2 linked regions of the Cricetulus griseus genome follow. The main gene of each other region encodes a partner of the protein of the gene in region 2 in a complex. Links are inferred from orthologs where the notes say so. Each region holds a gene or a part of one and is shown on either strand. Other genes may lie near its edges.

Evidence for each region.
Region 1: Prpf19 (region 2) and Ppie share a complex: the UniProt entries of both Homo sapiens proteins name them as parts of the XAB2 complex. The link is inferred for Cricetulus griseus from reciprocal best matches to the Homo sapiens genes PRPF19 and PPIE.

What each region holds. Positions count from the first base shown.
Region 1 is NC_048595.1:29,865,633-29,869,542, reverse strand, and holds the end of Ppie (peptidyl-prolyl cis-trans isomerase E), read right to left. Parts: intron 1,151-3,910; coding exon 1,008-1,150; intron 858-1,007; coding exon 789-857; 3' UTR 510-788; downstream 1-509. UniProt on the Homo sapiens protein: Involved in pre-mRNA splicing as component of the spliceosome. Combines RNA-binding and PPIase activities.
Region 2 is NC_048596.1:49,549,493-49,553,306, forward strand, and holds part of Prpf19 (pre-mRNA-processing factor 19), read right to left. Parts: intron 2,582-3,814; coding exon 2,426-2,581; intron 2,229-2,425; coding exon 2,159-2,228; intron 2,002-2,158; coding exon 1,916-2,001; intron 1,710-1,915; coding exon 1,539-1,709; intron 1,405-1,538; coding exon 1,299-1,404; intron 1-1,298. UniProt on the Homo sapiens protein: Ubiquitin-protein ligase which is a core component of several complexes mainly involved pre-mRNA splicing and DNA repair. Required for pre-mRNA splicing as component of the spliceosome.

The sequences.
Region 1 (3,910 bases), on a different chromosome or scaffold from region 2:
CATGGTCAGTCACCAACTATTTGCTTCTGCCGCTGTAATGAGAAAGCAGCCACAGGCAGTATTCCAATATAAATGGATATGGCTGTGTCTCAATACAACCTCATTCACAGAAATCAGCAGTGGGCTGCCCAAAACCCAGGTAGCATGCCAACCTTCTGTCTCCTGACAAGAAGCCCAGTCCCTGGCAGAGTTGCCTCTCTGAGTCATAATATACCATTTAAAAACCTGAGAACTTACTGTGAATGTTAGACACTGGAGCTACTGAGGTCGACACCAGCATGAATTCCAGACACAGGCAAGAGGGACAGGTAGCTCTGATTCCTGCTGTCCTGACAGGATCTGACAGTGACATCTGGCATAAAGATACACTACCTGGCATGTAAGGAAATTAGCCCCAGGAAGGAACAGAAGGCATGGGAAGGTATTACACCTTCACAAACTTGCCATCCCATCCAGGGGACAGTTTAGCCGTGGATGTGATCGCTAATGGATAACTCGCAGGAACTTGCTGGAGGCAACAGTACAAAAAACAGTTTATTTTAGCAAAGAAGCCACCCAGTGGCTAAAGACCCCAGGACAGGCTGTGGCAGCACATAGCCTATGCTGGCTTTAAGGCCCAGCCACATCTAGAGTAAGAGCCTGGGCATTGCAGAGGGGCAACTAAGGAAGTTGACCCGTAGAAGGGCTTGGGTGACACACAACTGCTTCACAGGACGCACTCGGCACCAGGTCCCTAGAGGCCAGGTAGCTCCGTTCTTGTCTTACAGAGGTGGGAGCCGAGCGAAGCATCACATGTACTCTCCACAGTCAGCGATGATCACCTTCTGCTTGGGCTTCCCATCCTTGCTGCCCTGAGCCTTTGTGAACAGAACAGAGAAATCAGGAGAAGCACGGGGTTGAGAGCTAGCTGCTCAGGGGTCACCCTCTCCCAGATAGGGAACCCCTACAGGTCTCCCACTGAGGTACCCACCCAAGGTCCAGGTAGAAAGCTATTTGCAACCACCCACCTCAATCTGCCGTAGGACATCCAGGCCTTCGGTGATCTCCCCAAATACCACATGCTTGCCATCCAGCCAATCTGTCTTGTCACAGGTCAGGAAGAACTGGGAGCCATTGGTGTTTGGGCCAGAATTGGCCATGGAGAGAAGGCCTGGGAGAAAATAAACTCCTCAGCTCCCTCCATAATGCTCCCAGCCCAAAGTGCACACCCATGCTGACTGTTGGCAGTGCTTCTGTGCACTGGCTCGGGCTCCAGGACAGGGACCCCAAGGTGCTGCACCCTGTCTTCCTCCCCACAGAGAAAGAATGCATGGGTTGTTTCAAATTTGTTCATGTTTTGTTCATTTGTCTTTTCATTTAGAACAATGACTTGCTGTTTACTCTGTAACCAGACCCATTAAGTCCTGGAACACCAACAAGCAAAACATTCGTTTAAAATGGAATTGTACGGGTCTGGGAAATGGTTCTGTAGATAGAAGTGCTTGCTGAAGAAGCCTGACAATCTGAATTTCATCTCCAGAACCTATAGTAAAAGGGAAGGTCTCCTGAAAGTTGTCCTCTCATCTCCACGCACAAACTATAATGCACATAACCAGCACTCAAACACATGCACAATACACACAAACGATAAACACATACACATATTTTAAAGGTTATTGTGTTATGACAACTAAGAGGCAGGGTCATCTGTGCTGGGAAGAGAAGCTTAAGGCAGTCACATGGAGGAGGGGGAGATGCTGGGCCAGGAAAGGAGCTGGAGACAGGGTGACAGGGGAGGTGGATTCCTAATTCTTTTTTTCTTTTATGGGGGGGGGCATGGTTTCAAGATGGGGTTTCTCTGTAGCTTTGGAACCTGTTCTGGAACTCTCTCTGTAGACCAGGATGACCTTAAACTCACAGAGATATGCCTACCTCTGCCTCTCAGTGCTGGGATTAAAGGTATATGCCACCTCCACCCAGCAAAAGGTGTACACCACCATTTCTTTCTTTCTTTTTCTTTTTTTCAATTTTTCAAAACAAGGTTTCTCTATGTAGCTTTGTAGACAAGGCTGGCCTTGAACTCTCAGAGATCCACCTGCCTCTGCCTCCTGAGTGCTGGGATTAAAGGCATGCACCACTACCATTCTGTTTGTTTTTGTTGTTGTTGTTGTTGTTTTGAATTTAATTATGCTTATGTGTATGGGTTTTTGCCTGCATGTTTATCTATGGCTCACATGTGTGCCTGGTGCCAGAGGAGGCCATAAGAGGCTACCCTGAGACCGGAGTTACAGACAGTTGTAAGCCACCAAGTGGGTGCTGGCAGTAGAACCTGGGTCCTCTGGAAAAGTAACCAGTGCTCTTAACCACCAAGCCATCTCTCCAGCCCTTGAGCCCTAATTTTGGCCAGGCACATCTACTAAAACAGGAGACAAGAAGGGAGTTGGAGGGAAGAATGATTTCAATCTGTGAAGTCTAAGGGTCCTCTGCAAGAACAGCAAGTGCTCTTAACCACTGAGCCATCTCTCCAGTCCCTTAAGAACTACATATATTACATTACACAAACCCCAAGTTTTAAGGGCTTTCCCAGTGACGAGCTAGATGTGGTAGCACATGCCTATACCTAGCGCTCAGGAGGATCCAGAGTTCAGTGCTACCTTGAGCCACACACTAAGACCCTGTCTCAAAAAACAAAAATCAAACCAGGTATAGTGGTATATGCCTTTAATCCCCAGACTTGGAAGTCTGAAGCAGGCCAACCTGGTCTATATGACAAGTTCCAGGTGAGCCAGGGCTACACAGTGTGACACCCTATCTCAAAAACAAAACAAAAAAAAAAAAAATCAAGATCAAAACAAAGAAACAATCCAGGAATTACAACTACAATATAAATCAATGGAATCTCAGTCATCATTTCACAAAATAGAGTCAGCACCAGCAATATTGTCTGTAGTGTTTGAACTGGAAGCAGGCACATCTCTCTATTTTTAACTGCTGCATCTGAGTGTGGCACACAGCGGAATAACTCTTGTGTCTTCTGGTGTAATCGCACCTACTAAAGCACTCTTACTCTTAAAATAATGTAGACAGAAAGAACTTATTGTCCCTGTACTTCAGCTCAGCACAAGGTTGGAGGAAGAACACAAGGCACAGTGAACACGTTTCTATGGAGAAATCAACTGATCCCTGAGCCACCGCCATGTTGAGGAATCAAGAAAGGAGGAAGCACTAAGACGAAAAGGTAGTGAAGCAGGCAAAGCAACTGTAAGATGGAGGAGCCGGCCACCAGAGCAAGCAAGAAACAGGAGCACAGGGCTGACAATACAAGATGCCGCTGGGGGCAGAATACAGCAAGGCCTAAAGCTGGCGATGGTTGGCATCTATAACAAGAAAGGTCTGAGGGGCCAGCTGGGGCTAAGTCTAGATAACAGGACTTAGAACAAAAAGGCAGTGAGTCTACACATTTTTTCCTAAATCTTGCTGAAAAGTAGACTAGAGTCAAGATGACAGATGGTGAGAGGAACAAGAGTCCAAAGGTAATTTTTTTTTAAAAGATTGAGATTGCATGCCTGGACACTGATAGACCAAACTGGCTAAGCAAGAGAAACACATTATATAGGTCAAAGGGAGCCAGCAGAAGATGCCAACTTCCTAAGTAGGGCAGAGGGACAGACTCCCTCATGAGGAGGGATGGCCTCTATAACAGGAGGGAAGTCAGAGCATGTAAGCAGGAGGTGTCAGGAAGAAAAACAGGCATGGGACTGAAGGTGTGCGTACGGGGGTGCAGAGAGGTTGAGAGCACAAGGAAGTTTGCAATGATAACCACAAACTCTAGGCTAGCAAAGAATAGCAACTTGTGGCATGAAGGTGGGATGTGAAGAGAACAAGATGGGAGGAAAGCAGCTCATCCCAGCATGTGGGCTGGCCAACTGCA
Region 2 (3,814 bases):
TCAGATGGAGAACCAGGGCAGGTTCTTTCCAGAGTTAAGAAAACACCCGGATCTCACCAACTCTCCAGAGAAAAGCCCTCTTGTGCTCCCAGCTGGCCTAAACTCAAGGTGATTCTCTAGTTTAGCTATCAAAAATTGAGATTACAGGTGTGAGCTATCACACCCAGCAAGATCCCCTAAAGTTGAGGCTATAGCAGCTACTCAAGGCCATAGGTGACTCTAAGGTGAGAAACCCTCTTGTGCACCACTGTCAGCCTGACTTCCCTTTATTACTTCTAGTTATCCTTGTGTTGTAGTTATACTTGTGTTGGGGCTTGAATACTTGCTACTGTGGGAAAGGCCCCAGACTCCATCTCCACACAAAGGAAAACTGCCTAACTTGACTTTAAACTTCATCACTCACACATGATAGACCCCAATAAAGTTGACAAAAGATAAAAAAAACATGGGCTGGAGAGATGGCTCAGAGGTTAAGAGCACTGACTGCTCTTCCAGAGGTCCTGAGTTCAATTCCCAGCAACCACATGGTGGCTCACAACCATCCATTATGAGATCTGGTGCCCTCTTCTGGTGTGTAGATATACATGGAAGCAGAATGTTGTATGCATAATAAATAAATAAAATCTTAAAAAAAAAAAAAGATAAAAAACATGCCAGGTGTGGTGGTGCACATCTACTGTCCCAGCACTTGGTAGACAAAGACAGGAAGACCTCTGTGAGTACAAGGTTAGCCTGGTCTACAAAGTAAGTTCCAGGACAGCCAGGGTTTGTTATACAGAGAAATCCTGTCTCAAAAAACCAAAACAAACAAACAAAAAAACCTTCATTACTTCCCAGACTGGTTCTTTTTCATTGCTCAAATCAAGAGCCAATACCAAATAATATACCACAAGACACTGCTAACCTATGAGTTGCATGCACTTTCATGTAAACCCCTATATTTCCTACTGAGTGTTTGAAATTATCATTTCAATTTTCCTAAGGCACCAGAGAGATTACAAATTACAGAATTTGCTCCTCAACACACAACTTGGGAGAGGCCAGGTAGTAACACAACTCACAGCCAAACAGACTCACAAATGCTTTTCCTAGGCTACAATGCTCTACTGCCCCCAGACATAAGTAAAAGCAGCCTGGGGGTTGGGCTCAGTAGTAGGAAACTTGGTCAGGTTCCACTCCCAGGACAGCAAAAGTAGGAATAGTTTGGGCCTATCTAGGCCAAGCCCAGAGCTTCACCACCAAGTGAAGCTTCCTAGAGCAGATGTACAAGGCCCCGGAAAGCCACAGCCAGCCTCTACCTGTAAAGTGAAGAATCTCTGTCCACTGTTTGCAGATATAGATCTGGACATCTGTACCCCCAAGAGCCAGGTAGGTACCACTCTGGTCAAAGATCAGTGACTTCACCTGCCAAACCCCAAAGAAAGGCAATTACACAAATGTCAAGCCACAGAACAACTGGGACAAAGAGAAGCAGTTCACATGAACTCAGAAACCATCAGGGAGTGAGGACAAACAACTAAGACTGGGGAGGAGCGCACCTCAAAGTTGTTATCCAGCTGCAATGTCTTAAAGTTCTTCAGCTTGCGTAAGTCCCAGAGCTTGACTGAAGAGTCATCGGCTGCTGTGGCCAGGTAGTACCCATTCTCAGAGAAGGCGATACTGGTAATGGGGCCAGAATGGCCAGGGAAATTGGCCACATTGGTACGCTCCTACAGGTGGTGGTTGGACAAAAAATTATCACTTACGGGTTAAGATAGGAAGGGGCTTACCAAACTTCATGTCCTGTGCACCCACAGTTCCTTGGTGACATTACCATGCCACACAAACAAAGCCAGGCTTTCCTAAGCCTTGAGAAATCCTGGGGCCTGCTGACACACCTCATCAGTTCCTTCTCTAAGAGGCCTGCATGTCCTACCTTCAAGTCCCAGATCTTGATCTGGGAGTCCATGGTTCCTGTTCCAAAGATGAGCCCATCAGGATGGAACTGTGCACAGGTAAGAGCTGAGGAAAGGGGACAGGGATCTGTAGTCAGTAGTCACCGTGGCCTCTACACTGGTGCAGTGGTAAACACTGTCTTTAGAACAAATAAGCAAATGACTAAGTAAAACTTAAAGACAAACTGCAAACAAAAGAGTTCAGTGCCTCTAAGGACACTTACAGCAGCCGGAAGTCTCATCTGTCACCTTGGTGAGCACGCGCCCTGTCTGGATGTCAGAGAAGGCCCAGTACTGGAGGTGAGACAAAGAAGCCAATGAGTAAGCAGGTCTGGTAGCTGAGACCCTGATTCAGCACCTACTGGCAAAGATAGCTCCCACAACAGGGAAAAAACCTTTCCAGAACTCTGGGAATCTGGCTGCCCCAGCAAGATGGCCCTTCCTCCCAGGGTGAGTAGGCAGCCTCCTCAGGGCCCTAGCTGGGACTGTACCTGATCATCAGAGGAACTCAGGAGATAGTCTCCAGTAGCATGGAGGCTGAGGCCTGTCACTGCACTCTCATGGGCTCGAACAACCTGTACACAGGAGGTGTTTGGGACCGACCAAATCCTGATAGTCGCATCTGGGGATGCAGAAAACACCAGTTCCTGAAAGGAAAGCAACCAAGAATCAGATCCTAGGAAGTGAAATGTACTATAACACCCTTTTCCACAGTGAAAAGGACAGCCATAACTACCAGCAACTGCTTCTCCTTCTAGTCCCTCTCTGCCTGTAACCACCTATCTAAACAACAGTGCCTAAGAAAGCCAAGAAAAATAAATGCTGCTGAAATGGCCACACTGAGCCAAGTTGAGACCCTCACTACTTAGTAGTAAACAGGGCAACTGCAGCTGAGAGCTATTTTTGCCCCCTTTTAAAGCTGGGTGGAACTGAGGGACTGGAATCATGTGCACCTGCAGCTAAAGACTACTGGACTAGATGGCACAGATCCGAGCAGACTGAGCCTGTAAAGGAATATAAGGTCATGTTCCCATGTTCCTCACACTTAGACCCAAGGGCATGTTGATTGTCCAAAAGACCTGGGGCAGACAGAGAGCTTATTTAGTTTCCCAAATAAATTATTTCCACTAGTTAGGACAGTAACAGCCAGAATATAACAGCAACTATCCTTTCATTAACACATACTCATAAAAGCCAAAAGTAATACTAACAACGAATAAACAGGAAAAAAAGTACTTCAATTTGAATTAGTTTTTCAGTTTGCTATAGCTGTGATGGTTTGAATGAGAATGGCTCATATATGTGGCTGCTTAATCACCAGGGAACGGCACTATTTGAAAGGATTAATAGTGTGGCTTTGTTGGAGAAGTATCTCATTGGGAATAGGTTGGTTTTGAGATTTCAAAAGCCCATGTCAAACAGTGTGTGTGTGTGTGTGTGTGTGTGTGTGTGTGTGTGTGTGTGTCTGTCTGTCTGTCTGTCTGTCTGTCTGTCTCAGCTACTGGCCCAGTGTCAGGCTTGCCACCATGCTCCCTGCCATGATGATAATGGACTAACCTCTGAAACTGTAAGAAGCAATCCCCCAATTAAATGCTTTCTTTTATTAAGAGTTGCTGTGATCATGGTGTCTCTTCATAGCAAAAGAGCACTAAGACACAAATAGTCCTCTATTTCTCAGTTCCTTAAGTCTAAGAGAAAGACTTAACTGGGAGGCACTGTTTCAGCACCCCATGCAGCTGCATACCAAGCCACAGTACTCAACTCTTATGAGACCATTAATCTCCTCTAATAGCTACCTTTATCCTCTTTTCTATTTGAACTCACACCACTTTCAACAGCCAACATTTAATTTTGAACCCAACCACACAGGGTGTCATGGG